Schizosaccharomyces pombe: one gene and its partner. Each later gene encodes a partner of the first gene's protein in a complex. Each region holds a gene or a part of one and is shown in the gene's direction. Other genes may lie near its edges.

Evidence for each region.
Region 2: rrn10 (region 1) and spp27 share a complex: the UniProt entries of both Schizosaccharomyces pombe proteins name them as parts of the UAF (upstream activation factor) complex.

The regions. Positions count from the first base shown.
Region 1 is NC_003424.3:5,029,102-5,038,950, forward strand, and holds rrn10 (RNA polymerase I upstream activation factor complex subunit Rrn10), read left to right. Parts: upstream 1-4,335; 5' UTR 4,336-4,376; coding exon 4,377-4,502; exon of another isoform or gene 4,503-4,554; coding exon 4,555-4,722; 3' UTR 4,723-5,338; downstream 5,339-9,849. Other genes in the region: alpha-1,2-galactosyltransferase Gmh3, read right to left, coding at 1-897; RanGAP Rna1, read left to right, coding at 2,683-3,843; krp1 (kexin), read right to left, coding at 5,339-7,468; etp1 (monooxygenase-ferredoxin fusion protein), read right to left, coding at 8,107-8,345, 8,391-9,849. UniProt on the Schizosaccharomyces pombe protein: Component of the UAF (upstream activation factor) complex which interacts with the upstream element of the RNA polymerase I promoter and forms a stable preinitiation complex. UAF seems to stimulate basal transcription to a fully activated level.
Region 2 is NC_003421.2:1,829,983-1,837,681, forward strand, and holds spp27 (RNA polymerase I upstream activation factor complex subunit Spp27), read left to right. Parts: upstream 1-2,000; coding exon 2,001-2,193; exon of another isoform or gene 2,194-2,265; coding exon 2,266-2,477; exon of another isoform or gene 2,478-2,610; coding exon 2,611-2,760; exon of another isoform or gene 2,761-2,814; intron 2,815-2,931; coding exon 2,932-3,078; 3' UTR 3,079-4,187; downstream 4,188-7,699. Other genes in the region: msh6 (DNA mismatch repair protein), read right to left, coding at 1-990, 1,106-1,699; hel2 (ubiquitin-protein ligase E3), read left to right, coding at 4,631-4,727, 4,773-4,970, 5,029-6,932. UniProt on the Schizosaccharomyces pombe protein: Component of the UAF (upstream activation factor) complex which interacts with the upstream element of the RNA polymerase I promoter and forms a stable preinitiation complex. UAF seems to stimulate basal transcription to a fully activated level.

The DNA.
Region 1 (9,849 bases):
TTCCGGCTGGCCAACAGGGTAAGAATTAATAAGGGTTTGAGGTAAAATTCCTATTATAGCAGCAATTTCCGGGTGATATCTAACAAAATATCCCAAAAGGGCCTGTTCATGATCCGCAACCTTATTTTCTCTAAAGGATTTATCGCCCCATAAGTCCAAAAACAGAGCCATCATGGGCGACCTTCTAACAAAGAAACTTCCCGCGTTTAAGCCATTCAAATCTTGAGAAATCAATAGCCCTAAAGAACGAGCACTGTCAACAGTATAGGAACTTGGGGTGAGACGTTCGAGATCAGCACTAAATGGAGATATCATAGGTTCATTCTTCATTAACTTTTCCACTAAAACGTCAGGTGACAAAATATGTTCTTGAATAGAGAGTTCTGTGTTCAAAATTAACGCATCTTGGTCCAACCACCAAATCCATTTCGCATGAGGATGCTTATTCATTGTTTGTATAATAGCGGGCATTTTGGCCCACACTGGAGGAATGTTCATTTGGCTTACATTAACATATTCAAAGCCATAGTTGTGATGCTTTGCGTAGTTAATTCGGTTTTCTATGCATTGATTAAATGTTTCAGGTGCCATATTGCCACTTGAACGTCCATCACTCGCTAAGAGGATTACTATTTCATGGGATTTGGGCTCTTGAGGATCATCCTCGTTAATTGTCGCTTGATGATACGTCGTGCTAAGGCCTTGCATATCTTCATCCAGAGGTACTAAGTAGTCGTATTCTTGTACACTTGGTTTGGAAAATACATCTTGTAAACGTTCTAAAGCAGGTGAAGCAGAAAAAGAGTTTCCAAATTGGAAGTAAATGAGAAAAGAGCTAATCCCAATGATTAACAACACGAATATAACACGAGATAACTTCCACTGTAGGACTGCCATTTTAAAGATTAGCAGATGTTAAATGCAAATTAATAAAAAAATAAAAAATAAAATTTAGTCTTTTAGAGACAAGAGAAACTCTTTTTCAAGTTTCACAAATATAAACTGAGATTGGATAAAAGCAAAACAATAAGATACCAAGAATGGATCAGAAATTATGAATGAAATGGGAAACTTTCTACTCTTTCTCGGTAGAAAATTAGAAAGCCGTTTTAAAAATTAAAATGAGATTTGTGATATTCCAAAGAATACTACGTTTGAAACACGAATCTTCGCCCGTTGACTCAAGAAACGAGAGAAAACAGTAAAAAGAAATTGAAAATATAATGTAAATTATAATAAAAAAATATGAATGAATTAGATTCTTTAAAAAATGATTAACCAGATGGACCTGGAATTAAAGGCAGTGTGTAGTGGAAGGATTGAAATTACCGCATCATGGAGTCAATCATCATAAATTTACGGTTTCCTCTACTTATCGTATCCTATTTATAATAAAAGAAGAAAAAGAAGAAAAATCTGTATGGTAATGATTTATGTTCAAAATAATGAGTTGTTCCTTTAAAATCACGTTTCCAAACTTTTAATGACATGATTCACAGTACTTAAACATTTTAACCAGTTTTATACGTTGGGACAAATAACAGGAATGGCTTAATTCAGCAATACGTCTAAATCAATGTCATGATTGAATGGGAAAATAATCAAACGATTCAAATTGTTGAAACAGGTAAAGCAGATCAAGTACTGGAATGCGGACTGAAGTCCAATTCGAGAATGGTTACAACTATGAAATGAGAATTAATTTACTGAAAAGAATACAGTATCAATGGAATAGCTTTCCTGATAATGTGAAAGCTGTTTAAAGAGTATTCTATGTGTCTAGAGTGCAGACTCGTGGATTTTCACAGTAATGAATAAGAAATGTTAAACTAAAAATATCAATTGTTGTTATTATCTTGATTTTTCATATATCTGTTAAACTCCCGCTTTCCGATTTTCTTTTTGGGTCAACTCATAAATGTATATGTGTGAGTAACTGAAATGATCACGAAACAAGCGGAAAGCTGAAAGATAGGGATACTCATTTCAGATCTTTTTGATTCTTCATTTTTTGGAAGTCACCAAGCTCTTTTGGTCAATATTCCTTCGTTCAACTTCGTATTCTTATAAATGGACTAGCGATGAGGCAAAAATCTAGCAATGTTAATTGCTAGAAATGCAATTAAGTTAAAGCAAACTTAAGCTAAGAATTCAGGACTAAGGTCACTCAAAAAGGTTCTTCATAAGATCCTCTATACTTAGTCAAAAAAACAAACTATATGCAACAGGATTGTCACAGCTATTTTTTCAAAAATGAATGATAGATAAATGTCAAAAAAGCTCAATCATCCTATTTACAAAAGTTTTATACATGTCTTTCAGGAACGTATCCGAGCACTAATGCACCACTCCGACATTGAGTATCTTTCGGTTTGCGCTAATCTGATCTAATAATTTAAATGACTTCTAATAGCATAGAATCGTCTTAAAATTAAACTCATTAGCGAGAGATCGCATTTGAGTTTGTAAATAAAAACAGGTTGAGTAAAGGGGGTATCCGTCAAAAGAGGATAAATTTCGTTCTTCTTCTACTTTGAATATTATTTTAGTTTCTTTTTTAAAAGCCATGAATTCAAGTGACTGAAGCATCTATCCTCGATCAAATTTAACATACACAGCTAGTTCACACAATCTTTCCTCACCACCATACCTGCTATATTTTTTCTTTCAACAACCAACTCCATGTCGCGTTTTTCAATAGAAGGGAAGTCTTTGAAATTAGATGCAATTACAACTGAAGACGAGAAGTCTGTATTTGCTGTTCTGTTAGAAGATGATTCTGTAAAGGAAATTGTATTGTCTGGTAACACAATTGGAACCGAAGCTGCTAGATGGTTGTCAGAGAATATTGCCTCAAAAAAAGATTTAGAAATTGCAGAGTTTAGTGATATCTTTACTGGACGTGTCAAAGATGAAATTCCTGAGGCTTTACGTCTGTTGCTACAAGCTTTACTCAAGTGCCCAAAACTACATACTGTAAGATTGAGCGATAATGCCTTTGGCCCTACTGCACAGGAGCCCTTGATTGACTTTCTTTCAAAACACACACCTTTGGAGCATCTTTACCTACACAATAATGGACTCGGTCCTCAAGCTGGCGCAAAAATTGCTCGTGCCTTGCAAGAGCTGGCGGTCAACAAGAAAGCTAAAAATGCACCTCCCTTGCGTTCCATTATTTGTGGAAGAAATCGTTTAGAAAATGGGAGTATGAAAGAATGGGCTAAAACTTTCCAGAGCCACCGTTTGCTACATACAGTGAAAATGGTGCAAAATGGTATCCGTCCCGAAGGTATTGAACACTTATTGCTTGAAGGATTAGCATATTGCCAAGAGCTAAAGGTACTCGATCTTCAAGATAACACATTTACGCACTTGGGCTCTAGCGCTCTCGCTATCGCGTTGAAAAGCTGGCCCAACCTTCGAGAACTAGGCCTCAACGATTGTCTCTTATCTGCTCGCGGTGCTGCCGCAGTTGTAGATGCTTTTTCTAAATTAGAAAATATTGGGCTTCAAACGTTACGCTTACAGTATAACGAGATAGAGCTGGATGCTGTCCGGACCCTAAAAACTGTGATTGATGAGAAAATGCCGGATCTTTTATTCCTTGAATTAAATGGAAACAGATTTTCGGAAGAAGACGATGTTGTTGATGAAATACGTGAAGTCTTTAGCACCCGTGGTCGTGGTGAACTAGATGAGCTTGATGATATGGAGGAACTTACCGACGAGGAGGAGGAGGATGAAGAAGAAGAAGCTGAGTCTCAAAGCCCTGAGCCGGAGACTTCTGAAGAAGAAAAAGAAGACAAAGAACTTGCTGATGAGCTATCAAAAGCTCATATTTAGAGCAACTACTTTCCCTCTCGAACCCTGCTCCGCTGTTTCCGAAATTTTTTAACATATTTCTATTGTTCATGCTAGGCGGTAATGAACGATTGTGGTCAACGGATGGTCTATATCGACCATTCGATTTCCTTCTGCATTTTTATCAACATTCTGTCTTTTTACGCGGCAGGACCGATAAATAGTATTAGATTAAATCTGTATATGACAGAAAAAAAATTCCCCTTTCAAAAATGGCGAAAAGGTTCTTTACGTTTTATTAATAACCCACTTTAATTAAGTATTGGGTCAATATAATATGGTTTGGATTGTATCTGTGTAAAGTTGTTTTGTTGTTATGTCGTAAAGCCTGAACTATTTTTTCAGTATGTCTGTAAACCTCGAGATAAATTTTCTGTAAGTCGCAGTTAACTTTTAAGAATGTGGGGATTCCATTACTTGAGCTTGGTGTTTCCAAATATGATTGTACTACTGCAAGGACGAATTAGAAGCTTCACCTAGCATAGTACATACTCTACGTCCAACGCCATCTATTAATGTCAAATCCACCAACTCGGCCAACTTTGTATAATTTGGTGAATGCTGATGGTGAATTGTCTTACAGAGCTCGTGATTTAGTACAGGATTTTTCTGTTCCAATTCCACATGAACTGCCGGATCCTGTAAGTTCACAGCTTCTGCCAATACTTGTTTAACTAATCTTTTTATGTTTAGGATTTAGTTCATAGCATCCAGGATTTTGCAACAGAATACATGCTTGCGACAGGGAAAAAGTCATTCGAGTGTTTGGATGAAAGTGCTTTATTGGGGTTGGGATATTTGGTGACTGAATGGATGGATGCTATGGTTACTGATTGTTTGGAAGAATTTGAAGAAAGATGAATTATCCTTGTACATTTTACTTTTCATTCGTTTGTTTCGAGATGACTCCGTTACATTTGTATGACTAACTTTGATGATTTTTCTATATGGCGTAAAGTTGTTAAACAGCTATGAATGCGTATTTGTGTATTGAAATTTTTATCTTTTGATAATTGTTTAAAATCAACATTACAGATGTAATTACATTGCTTGACATGTATGCAGGCTGCTGAAAAGCGAGAAGCAACGATGCTGTTAAGATTTTAACAAGCTTTGCGATACATTAGCAAACATATTAGGACTTCAACTATTTTTTTTTTGCAAAGCCTTTACTATTAAATCCGAATACTGTTACCAGTGAATCGTAAAGACAATCACTTCAACTACCCAAAGCATAATCCAATATACATTTTATTACTTGGTATTTATACACGCTATCTAATGATTACACTTCAAAGGGGTCGAATTAAATACGTAGTCCATGCGTATTTATTAAAATGCAAAATTAAGAAATGCCAATTAGGTTGTTTCATATCGATGAATGAAACGAATGACAAGTGACATCTAAGAAGAGATCATACTTTAAAAAGTAGTCCATATTATTTTAAACAGAAGTGAAAAAACGAGTGTTAACTTTTCAAGCAATTTCTTGCTGAGACAATGGTGGGGGTGCTTTAGCTTTCCAAAATGCGGAAATCCATGTCCATATGACAGCAACGAAAATAAAGGCAAACAACAAAAAGAAAGTAATAAATGCAACAATTTCTCTATAAGAGGGTTCCAATACAGGTTGGGTAGGGGGTAGGACTGTAGGAATCGGTATATGAGACGTTGATGTAGGTGTAGCTGTGGCAGATACGGTGTAAGAAGTAAATGAAGTAGACGTAGGGCTCAACAAGGTACTTGAGTTAGTCAGATCGCTATTTGGTTCAGAGTATATTCCCAAGACCATCTCCTTTGGAAGCTCAAGAGTGTCATAAGGGAGTGGTGCAGTATTAGAAGGGTTTTCAGATTCTCCCCACAAAGCCAACTGCCAATTTTCAAACGTACCTTCATGCTTTCCACCACTTCGATCATTAACCAGTAACTTCCAAACCCCCTCTGGAGGTTCGGCCCAATGCTGCACAGTCATGAACGTCCAGTCTAAAAACCCCTTACTATTCTCATCATACGGTCGTTCACTGGCAAGGATTGAACGAATGCCGGAAGGGCTTTCCAAGAGAATCTCCAATGCTCCTCTTCGGTTAAAAGGTATACACACCCTAACAGTGACATGTTCTAATCTTTTGAAGTTGCTTTTCTCAATCATATCCTTAGTAACGGTAAATTCGCTTACCATTTCAGTTATTGTCTCATTGTTAACACTCCCGAATGATTTATTAACATTAATTTCTGGAGCAATGAGCCAGGTTTGTGGATTCACGACCTGCCAATCCTTAGCCACCTCGACGAACTTCGATGCATCCAATTTACCAAACCCAAAATGATGGGAGAACTGGAATCCTGCTGGAGTCTTTTGCCATTCTGCATTTTGAGAAGGGCTATCAAAAGGAGATGCTGAATACACTGTAATATGCTGAATGTCTCTCCAACTAAGGTCAGGACGAATCGAAAGCGCCAAAGCATATACAGCAGATGCTAACGGAGCAGCCGCTGAGGTACCACCATGACTTCTAGTACATGTGCCTTCAGGATTTGTAGTTAATATAGACAAATGTGAGCCACTACTATATGCTGAAACTAATTGCGCAGCACACACCTCACTGTAAAATGGGATTTTATGTTCAGCATCAACAGCACCAATGGTAGCACTGAATATGCTATTCGTGTAGCCATCAAAATTGCAATTATCATGATAATGGCCTCCATTTCCAGAAGCGAACACAAAAATCGACCCAAGACCATTTCGGCCATTAAGGACACCGTTCATCAACGCACGACGAGTAGCCGTATTAGGAGCATCCATTGCTCTTCCATCATCTGCAGGGCCCCAGGAACATGAATATATATGATTTGTTTGAAAGCCATAATTCAGTGCTTCCGATTCAACAGCATCAGTAATAGGGGCCGAAAGAATACGAAGTCCAGCGACCTTGGCGCGTGGAGCTATGCCTACGCCACAAACGTCGTTCCAAGCTGCAGCCACTTCTCCAGCACAACGGGTGCCGTGCTGATCATCTGATAACTTTGGCAAAGGGTCAGCAATGTTATCATTGAAGTCCCAAGAACCAAGCGAAGTGTAAGCAGCTTGCAAATCTGGATGTTTAAAATCAATTCCATCGTCTACAAATGCAACGGTAACATTCTCACCGAAGTAACCGGCGTCCCAGACTTCACGTAGATTCAGATCGTGTCCAGGATTATTCGAGTTGAATATGTGCCATTGGCCATAAAAGAGAGGATCCGAAATTCCAAAATGATTAGAGAACTCATTCAGTAATTCATCAGATTCACTCGCATCCCGCTTGTAGCGCCATCTGGGCGTCTGGCGCTCCAATTCCAAGATTCCGGCATCAATGCCTCGTTTTCGAATTGAACTTTGGACTGAATCATCGCTCCCCTTATGTAGCTTAATTAAATGGTGATACTTCAAATTTAATAAAGGGCGCACATACTTAGCACCAATGGCTTCTGCTGCTACTACAGGATCAACTTCAGGTTCCACTTGAACTAGAAATAAATCATCGTTTTCTAATGGAGAGCAAGAAGAAACCAAAAACTGTAAAAATATTGCAAGAATTGGCCCACATAGCAAAGCAGGATGCATGGTGCTGGGACGGTGTATGCACTAGGTGGCTTAACAGATTATGGTGTCCACTGTACCATAGTGGTGGCTATGTACAATAAAACAGCCATTCGACTAAAACACATATAAAGTGTAAAGCTGTCAGTATTTAAACTTTTCCAATTAAGAAATACATGGCAAAAGTGAGCAATTGCTAAACCGTGTGTCTACTATAATACCATGTTATATATTACATTTCATCAATACAGAAAAATAGAGCATCTACTTGTTAATCATGAAATAACTTTAAGCATTTAATAGTAAAAAAAATATAAACGACGATGAAAACATTAAAAGTATGAAATTTAGAAACCATCTTCATCCTGGTCTTAGTAATATTACAAGTTTTCATGATTAAGTGTAAGATTTGAAAACAAAGGGTTAATTTATAATTAAAACAACTGTAGTCTGGATAAAGAAGGAATATAGTTAAAATGTAAAACCATGTGCCAGGTTGACTATTTAATTAGTTATGTGCATTTATTAGCTAGGCATGAACTTGATCCAAAAAAAAAAAATGAAAGTTGAGAATACGGATGAGATAGTATACTTTCGGAAGAAAATACTTTTATGGAATACTAGTACGAGACACTTGTCAAATTGTAAGCATGTTGACAAAATCAAGCTTTTGGTCTCTCCAATCGTATGTTTCTAGTCTGAGCAGGAATTCGTACACGGATGCCATCCAAATCTTTTCTTAAGAGTACTTGGCATCCCAATCTGCTTGTTTCCTCAAGACCAAATGCTAAATCAAGCATGTCTTCTTCATCTTCTTCCGGGGGATCCAAAAGTTCGTAATGCTCTGGATCTACGATAACATGGCAAGTCGAACATGCAACAGACCCTTCACAAGCGCCTTCTAAATCGATATTGTTAGCATGAGCGAGATCTAAAATACTATCACCTTCATTTCCCTCAATCATGATTTCACGTCCTTCAGGCGTGACGAAAAAAACTTTGATTCCAGTGCCCGGCAAAGGCTTTTTAATTTCGGAATGGAATGATGGGCGGAATGTATGGAATTGGCGTTGTTGAGTCAAAATGGAAGATGAAATGCTACTTTTGGGAGGAGAAGAGATTAATTTTGTCCATGAGCGGATGTTTTTTAAAGCGTATTCTGGATGCAAGCGCTGAGCAAGTGATAAGGCCGCGGTTAATGTAACAAGACTACCGGCTTGATGAAGGGCTGCCAAAGGTACAGGGACAACATAGATTAGAGTCATAATACCCAAAGTAGCTTGAGCAGTTACAACGCCTGTAACAACGTTAATGCTAGTTTTAATCTTCTTAGGCAAAATGTTTCTTTTAGCACGGGAAAAAATAAAAAGACCACATGCAGCAACAAAAGTAGTAATAGCTAAGATACGGTGTTCGAGTTGAACAAGACTTGGGTTGTCAATCATGTTTCTCCATATAAGATCGGACTTGTCGTCTTTCCTACAAAACCTTTGATCAAATAACTCGCTTTTAGATGGAGCAAGTCTTCCTTCGCCCATTTCCGGGAAAGTACAATAAATCATTCCGGCATCCAATCCAGCAACAAAGGCACCGGACAAAAGGGTGATCAGTACCAAGCCAACAAATGAGTTAACACTAGTACGAAATCCTTTCATTTTCTGAACTGAAGAAACCATTGAAGTCAATTGAGATGTGGAGCCACTCTTCATAGATTTCAAAAAGGCATGTCGTTGAAGGATTCCATGCCCAGTCCACACCAAGCCAATATAGAGAGCAACGGCAGCGGCTAAATGAGTAGCCAAGCGATAATGACTAACACGCGGATGAGAACCATCACTGAAGAGCTCTTCTGAAAGACCACTCTTGACCATCCACCAACCGATGACTCCTTGAAGTCCAACGAGTCCCGTAAGGCCGATTAGTCGCTTGCTTAGCCAAGGAGATGCCCTTTTAGTCACAATCATGTATATGGAAGGAAGAAGGATTGTCAAGCCGATTCCTCTACCGAGGACACGATGAAACCACTCCCAGAAAAATATGTTTTTAAACTCATCCACTGTCATATGGCTGTTCAGCTTCTCAAACTCTGGTGATTTTTTGTAAAGCTCAAATTCTTGGTTCCATTGTTCATCAGTAAGAGGAGGAATTACGCCAGTGATGGGCTTCCATTCAGTAATACTTAACCCGGATTCAGTTAGTCTAGTAATGCCACCTACAACAACAATTGCAAGAACAAGAGCAGAAGATCCAAGCAGCCAAAAGGCGACCTTTTTACTCGGAATTTTTTCGGTTTCCTGTAGGATGCCACCTGGTGTAGGAGCGACTGAGTTACTCAGCCGGCGAGCAAAAAACTTTTCAAATGAATTTTTATTAAACTTACAATCATTCAAAAATAAATTCTTAGT
Region 2 (7,699 bases), on another chromosome or scaffold:
AGTCGAGGTATCAATGAAGCAGATACCAAAAGAAGGCTCTTCGTTGTCAGATTGAAGACTTTCTTTAATAGCCATACAATATGTTGACAAGTCAGAAGTCAGCATTGCCTCGTCAACAAGGGTCCCGCTCGTTAAGACTTGGGTAAGGCCTCGCTGAACTACTTTTTCTTCCTTCTGAGTTCGTTGACGATCTTTTATTTCTTTACCTAAAGCGGTTTCCAATTGGTCGACTCGAGCTATACGATACCCCTTTGCAATGAATTGAGATGCCCAGTAATCAAAACTTGCTTCAGGAATTCCAACCATCTTCATATTAACTCTATCAGTTAACTTTAAGGAAAATACCTGATGTCCGATAGCGGCATCATTCTCATATAACTCATAAAATTTTCCCTTCTGAAAAAAAACAACTGTATCCATAAGGTCCTTTTTAATTTTCCAAAATTGTTTCTCAAATGGCTTGAAAGTTGCCCAAGCTGAAGGTGGGATATACAATGTGCGCGGATCATAATTAGGATCACCCACTCGATTTTGATCAGCATCTCGAACATCTAGCAACCACTCGTAACGTTCGTTGTTTTCTTTTTTAAATGCCTCCATTCTTTGCCTTCTTTTTTCTTCTCTGTTCAGGACACCGTTTTTATTCGATTTTGTGGGAGATGCAGAACCCGAGACCGAAGGGCTTGGACTGGCAATTTGAGAGCCTAGCCGATAACTTTCATACAAAGAATTGGAACTCTCCTTTCGAGATTCCTTTTTGGGAATTGGAGCAGCCACAGAAACGGAATGATCTGAATATCCATCAACATCCTCATCCATAGATTCGACTTCATCAATAGGCAAGGATGCCTCAGATGAGGCTTCCGAAATATGATCGGGCTCAACGTAGTCATCCGATTCGTCATCAGAAACGATTCTTTTATGACGAGATCCTTTGGTAGGTGCATCGTCGAAGTCTTCGTCTTCATCACTTTCAGCGTAGGAAACAGGCTAGCATATTGTTAGTCATAATTAATTAAAACAAAAATCTGGTTAATATAGGGGTAAAGTGCGTATTTCCCCTTTTATTCTTCTAAAGTAATATGTATCACTCAATTACCCATACCTTCCTTGAACGCCGAGAAGCTATAAAAGGCTTGTCGACTTCAGATAATTCCGAATTTTCCAGCTTCGACGAGACAGGATGACGAAATTGATCTTCAGCTTGAAATATTGATGTATCCAAACTTTTAAAACTTTTCTTTTTCGTCGGAGAATCGATTTCTTCTTCAGAGTCGGGCTCTTGCTTCACAGACGTGCGAAGCAATTTACCTGGTGACTCCTCGCCCAAAGAATCATGAGGGCGTTTAGGAGATGATCGGTGTAGGCTGCTAGAAAGCGGTGAGGAAAATGGATCACTTGATGGAGGAGGAAGCATAGATGAACTGGAATCTATCTCGGTATTCGCATGATGAGAAGGACTCGTTGGCAATTCGCGTTCCGGAGACGAAGAGTTTTTGTTCACATTGGAGCTGTTGTCAACATCAGCAGGCGTATCATGATTAGAGTCGTGATTCGAACTACTAGATAATGTAGAATCCGACTTCTCTTGTTTCACATTCGGGATTTTGGAGAAAAACCCAAAGAGGGTTTTCTGCTTTGTTTTAGCTGATGAATCTTTTGTTTTCTCCCTTTGCTTGCCAACGTTCCCAACGCTCATACTGGAACAAGTGTTGGTTTTGGCTAAGTTCAGTTATTTACAAAAAGCAGCATTCTAATAGTAAACAAAGCTAACATGAGAGCACAAAATAACATATATAATTTCCATTATTTTTAGTTTTACAAGAAATTAAATTGAAGCTTTATGTATTTACATCTGTAAAAATAGCGTGTTTTTCAAAATCGCATTTAGCTACACCAGCGCTCTTTCCTTCTTTACCGTAATCTATATCCACTACCACCGTCTCACTACACCATACTTTGACCAACACAGTAAGGTGGTAGTATAAAGAACTAGAACGATGGAAGAGTACGAAACAGACATTAAGCAAATTCTCGGTACAGTTGATCGCCAAACTGTATCTGCGAAGCAAGTTCGTCAACTTTTAGAAGAAAGAAGAAAGGTAGATTTGAGTGCGCATAAAAAAGACTTGAATGCGCTGATTTTGAAATGCTTTGATGAAACCGCCGCACCTTCAGAGAAGGAGAGTTTAGGTAAGATGAGAATATTGCTGGAAGAAATTTGCAAATAATAATGCAAGAAATAATAATTAACCAAACTTGTAGAAAAACAAGCACCCGCTCGCAAAACCAAGGGTAAGAGAGCGACGGAAAATGGCACTGAAGAAGGCAAGAAACCAGCAAAGAGAACCCGAAAACGCAAGGAAGATGGAGAAGAGGGTGGAAAACGCAAGAGGAACCAAGATCCTGCCAACAATCCTCTGAATAAGCCTATGAAGTTGTCCCCTAAGTTGGCCGAATTTTTGGGTCTTGAACAGGTAAGGCGGTGTTGTAGTGTGGAAGCCGTGCCTACTCGTTCCATTCAAAATCTTGTTGTTTTGAAAAAAGAGGCAGGCTTACATACTAAATGTTTATTTGCACGCTTTCTCTGCTGATTGCTAACTAACGTAGTTATCTCGTCCCCAAACTGTGAAGAAGTTATGGGAGTATATAAAAGCACATGACTTACAAGATCCCAACGACAAGCGAACAATTCTTTGTGATGACAAATTGAAAAGCGTTTTCGAAGTCGACACTTTGCATATGTTTACCATGAACAAGGTAAGTTAATCATGGATGGGTTCACAATTGTTTTAAGGAGGTTTGTCAACAAACTTTTACTTTGTCGATTGTAACTTTCCTTGTCTACTTTTTTCATTTGGTTACTTGTGGAAAACATTCCGCATTGCTCTTTGTTACCTGCTGCCGAAGCTAAGCTAACTTAATTAATAGTACTTAACAAATCTCATGACGAAGATTCCTGATGATCAATTGCCCAAACCTCAGCCTAAAAATGAAGAACCAGCGGCTCCGAACGATCTTCCCAAGCAGGAGGAAAAAGAGTTGGTCGAGCCTCCTACCGCCGAATCCACCGCTTGAGCCTTTGTGTTTGCTGCATGACCATATAAAACAGCCAAAACTTTTTTTCATATAATATCTTGCAATAATCCCTTTTTTTTTTGTCTCCAAAAATCATTCAAGTTTTTTGCTTTCATTGCATGCAATAAATGTTTATTTCGTTCAATACTCGCTTGCTTACCTGTTTTTCCTCAACAGATTTTGCCTATGTCCATGTCATATCCGTGCTTTAATACTAGAGGCTATGTATGTCTAGAGAGTCTCCACGCATAATCAGATATCGTATTTTGCATTACAACTTTCTGATCTTAAATGCAGTGTGAAAACAAAAGTTCAGGTTGCTGACTTTAGACCTTGGGTTGCTACAAGAGGTAATTTACGTTAGACTGACTGTGATTTTACGAATATTTCTTATCACCTATTCCTTATGGATATCTTTGTGCTTTTTTTTATAAATTCATATAGCATATTGATTTTCTTTTCTAAATGAACTGTTGTGCATGATGGAGATTTTCATGTATTGTATTAACACTTTCTTCACCGCACCTTTAATTATTTTACCGCTGCTTTGCTCTATAATATCATTGAAATAAAAAATGATTCACTTCAGCCCATTGTCGGGGAATTTTGTTTACGAAACCACCGTCGCTTGGAGCTGTCGAAGCCATATCATCAATAATAAATTTTATTTACTACCCTTGCGTATTACAAACCCATAATATGATGTTTGCTTTACAGTTTTGGATGATCTAAGATATGGCTTGGTTGTATGACTAGTACTCGTCTTGTGTCTATAGTGTATATATTAAATTATACGCAAATGGATGTTTTCTGGATATATGCTTTTAAGTCTCAAATAATGTACTGTCTTTTTAATTTGTTTATTATTTTATTTTGGGATTTTCTTTGGGGTTGCAAACCTGTCATCCGTTTGTTAGAGTATGTTTACATAAACATTTTTGTGTGCTTGTGGGTCGTTTTTTTTTTGGAAGATTGCTGCTTATAACCGTCAAAAGACTTATAAATTGATTAGACTGAGTGGAAAGTGTTCTTCTCTTTTATATTAGTCCTTAATGAATATACTTATTATTGATTGAATCATTTCATGGTGTTTACGACTTCTAAAGATCCAATCACACTTTAGATGAAGCCACATTTAACAGTTGTAACAATTGCATTTATTTGTAGACAGGACAACGCTTGCTTACATACATACACGACTTCTTGTTTAAGCACAAAGTAAAAAGATTATGGCGAAAAAGTTAGGGGAATATTTTTTTCAAAACAAATTAGTAAATTATATAAGCCCTTTATAAGAGATTGCTATTTACTTCCGCTGTACATTCAATGCTATATACGTTTCTAACAAAATATTCGATGCACGTTTCAAAAATCAATTCAGAAGCTTAAAAACTTTCCAATAATGTTGAAATTATAAATATATTCTTAGTTTGCGATATTCCAGCTAATTCAGAGGTCTCCAGCTAAACTGTTTTTTTTAGCATACAGCAGCTCGCTTTACGAAATTTTATTTACCCAGCGCCATACACGCAATCTTCTATAAACAATCAAAATGTCGCCTTCGGGCCCCAATTTAAATAATAAGGAGCACAACAGAGCATCGGAAAAAAAGAATTCTAGGACTCATAATAAAAAAACTAATAGGAATCGTACGTAACTTCCTTGTTGACATATTCCTTTTAACACATTTCAAGAAAGTAAAGAGAAACCGGTAAGCTCTAGGTCGGTAGAAACTCCAAAAAATGCAGTTTGCTTAGAGCCGGTTGGCACAGATCCTGTCAGTAATGTCGCTACTGTTGATGCTTCCAAAGAAGAACAGGATGAGGATGAGCAAATTTGCTTCATTTGTGCTGAAGGTATTACTTACAGCTGCGTCCTTCCTTGCAATCATCGTATGTCTTGTATCATGTTTTAAAAATGTTACAACTATGTTTAATCTAACTTAATTAGGAATGTGTCATGTTTGTGCTTTGAGATTGCGAGCGCTATACAAAACGAAGGAATGTACGTTTTGTAAAACCGAATGGGATACGGTTCTCATTACTAAAGATCATGAAATCGATATTCATGATGTCGATTTAGCAAAACTTCCTTTCCAAGATGAGAAACTTGGAATTGTGTATTCTGACGAGCATGCTCAAGAAGAATCCAACCTCTTGCTTCAATTCAACTGTCCAGAAGACGCTTGCGATATCACATGCAAAGGCTGGTTTGATTTAAAGCTGCATGCGAAGGTCAAACACCATAAGTTTTTCTGTGATCTTTGTGTTAAGAACAAAAAGGTTTTTACCCATGAACACACGCTATTTTCCAAGAAAGGATTGACAAAGCACAATGAAGTTGGAGATCAGGGATCCGATTTAGAGATTACTGGATTCAAGGGTCACCCGAAGTGTGAGTTTTGTAATACCCATTTTTATGATGATGATGAGTTGTTTAAGCATTGCCGTGAAAAACATGAACGATGTTACATCTGTGACCAAGTTGCAGGAAGGCCGACGCATCAGTACTTTAAAAATTATGATTCGTTAGAGCGCCACTTTGAAAAAGATCATTATATTTGTCGTGAAAGGGAGTGTTTGGAACGTAAATTTGTTGTTTTTGGAACTGAAATAGATTTGAAAGCGCATCAGTTGGATGAGCATCCCCACAACTTTACTCAACGCGAACTTCGAGAAGCACGAAGAATTATTCCTCAATTTAGTTACGACCCACCCGGCGCGTCCGGCAGGAACCGTCGTGAACGAACTTCTTCCACACCATCCGAACAATCTACTTCAGTGAATGAGACTGCCAACTCACTCTCTAACCTACACCTTTCCCGTGGAGAGATTGCTCACTTACGACAAGAAGAATATGTTCGCGAGCAACAAGCTCGCCATCGTGATTTTGGTTTCACGTTATCAAATCCGGCGCCTACATCTGCCCGCCCAGCGACATCTACTAGAACCATCAGCAGAGGAAAAACTAGAACGTTAAGAAACGAAGATTTCCCCTCTTTAGCCGAGGTTGCTAATCAAAATAGCTCTTCCGCACCCTCAGTACCTGTCTCCGCGCCTCGTCTGTCTGGTAAGTCTGCTTCAAGAAATCATGTTCCATCTCCACCCAAGGGCACTAAATCCCCGATGGCCTCTTCCGAGCAAGCACAACACCAACAAGTAATTGATCGGATGCAAAAATTGACGAATTACGATGATCACAAAATTAATGACTTTAAATTTGCTGTTTCTTCCTTCCGTGGTAATGTTATGCCCGCTCGTGAAGCTGTTGCTCGCATTACAAAATTAGTTGCAAAGCCTCATGAGCAATTGTCGGGCGTGTTCAACCAAATAGCAAATCTTCTAGAAAATAAAGAGAAGTCAAGGGAATTGTTGGAAGCTTGGCAGGAATGGAAAATACTGAATGCGAAAGATGATACTCGTATAGGTACTACTAACTCTAATCTTTTGCGCTTGAAGAGATCAAATAGGACTGCTGCTCAAACAGCTAGTGTTTGGAATCGTATTGAGCGTGCAGCAGCTCACGATGGGCCTTCTTTGTCTGCTCCATCATCTTCTATAAACCTAGCAAATATTACCTCAAGGCCAACGAACAGCTCAGCTGCAAATACTCCTTCTTGGGGTGTGCGCAAAGCACGTGCATCTGCGTTAAATGCAAGATCTGAAGAAGATTTTCCCGCACTTCCTCCTTCTACCTCGAAGAGAATTTCTGTTCAACTCGGAAAAAAGCAGGCTCGTCCCGTTGATTCATGGGGGTCTACACCAAATACTTCTTCCAATCGTAATAGTAATACGATGGGTGTTTCAAAGAAAAAAAACGGAAAAAAGCAAACTGTTTTGTTTCACATTGGTTGATTTTGGTTTATTGTATATAATAATTTTATTGATGGATGGGCATTTCGTTAATATATAATAATTTTGGGATGTACTCATTTATAATCTAGCACTTTATACCTTTTACCTGACTGTTGGGTTGTTTATCTGACCTCATAAAAGAAAGTGTCGTTTTGGAAAAATTAGCATTACATTGAGGGTCCTCCGCTAATGCTCCTGCGAAAAATGATTTTAATTTTGGATGTTTTTTCAGAAATAAAATGAAAATTAGCTTGATATAATATCAACCGGCAGCGAGTAATAGATTTAAAATAAATTTGATTAATTAAAAAAATTTGTTGTTTTAAGCAAGCCATTTTGCTAAAATCAAAGGTAATGGAAGAGTATTTCCGAAAAATCTCAACACATGTGAATGATCAGAAAATTATCGCCATAAAAGACAGAATAAGTCATCAGCGGTTGTTTCATTTCCTATATTTTTTTTTTATTTTTTTATTTTTTAATAAGGGAAAATTTAACGTCTAAGGATACAGAAGATTGTTAGCACATTAAAGTAATAAAGGCTTAAGTAGTAAGTGCCTTAGCATGTTATTGTATTTCAAAGGACATAATCTAAAATAATAACAATATCATTTCTCACAAGTTATTCAATTTTCTTTTTTTTTTCTAATAATATCAAGAATGTATTATTTGTTTGACATAAGTCAACTAATTTATTTAATATGCTGGATTAATCTTGCAGACATGTAAATTAACAAGTTTTAGTCAAATAACGTTGAAGTTTCAAT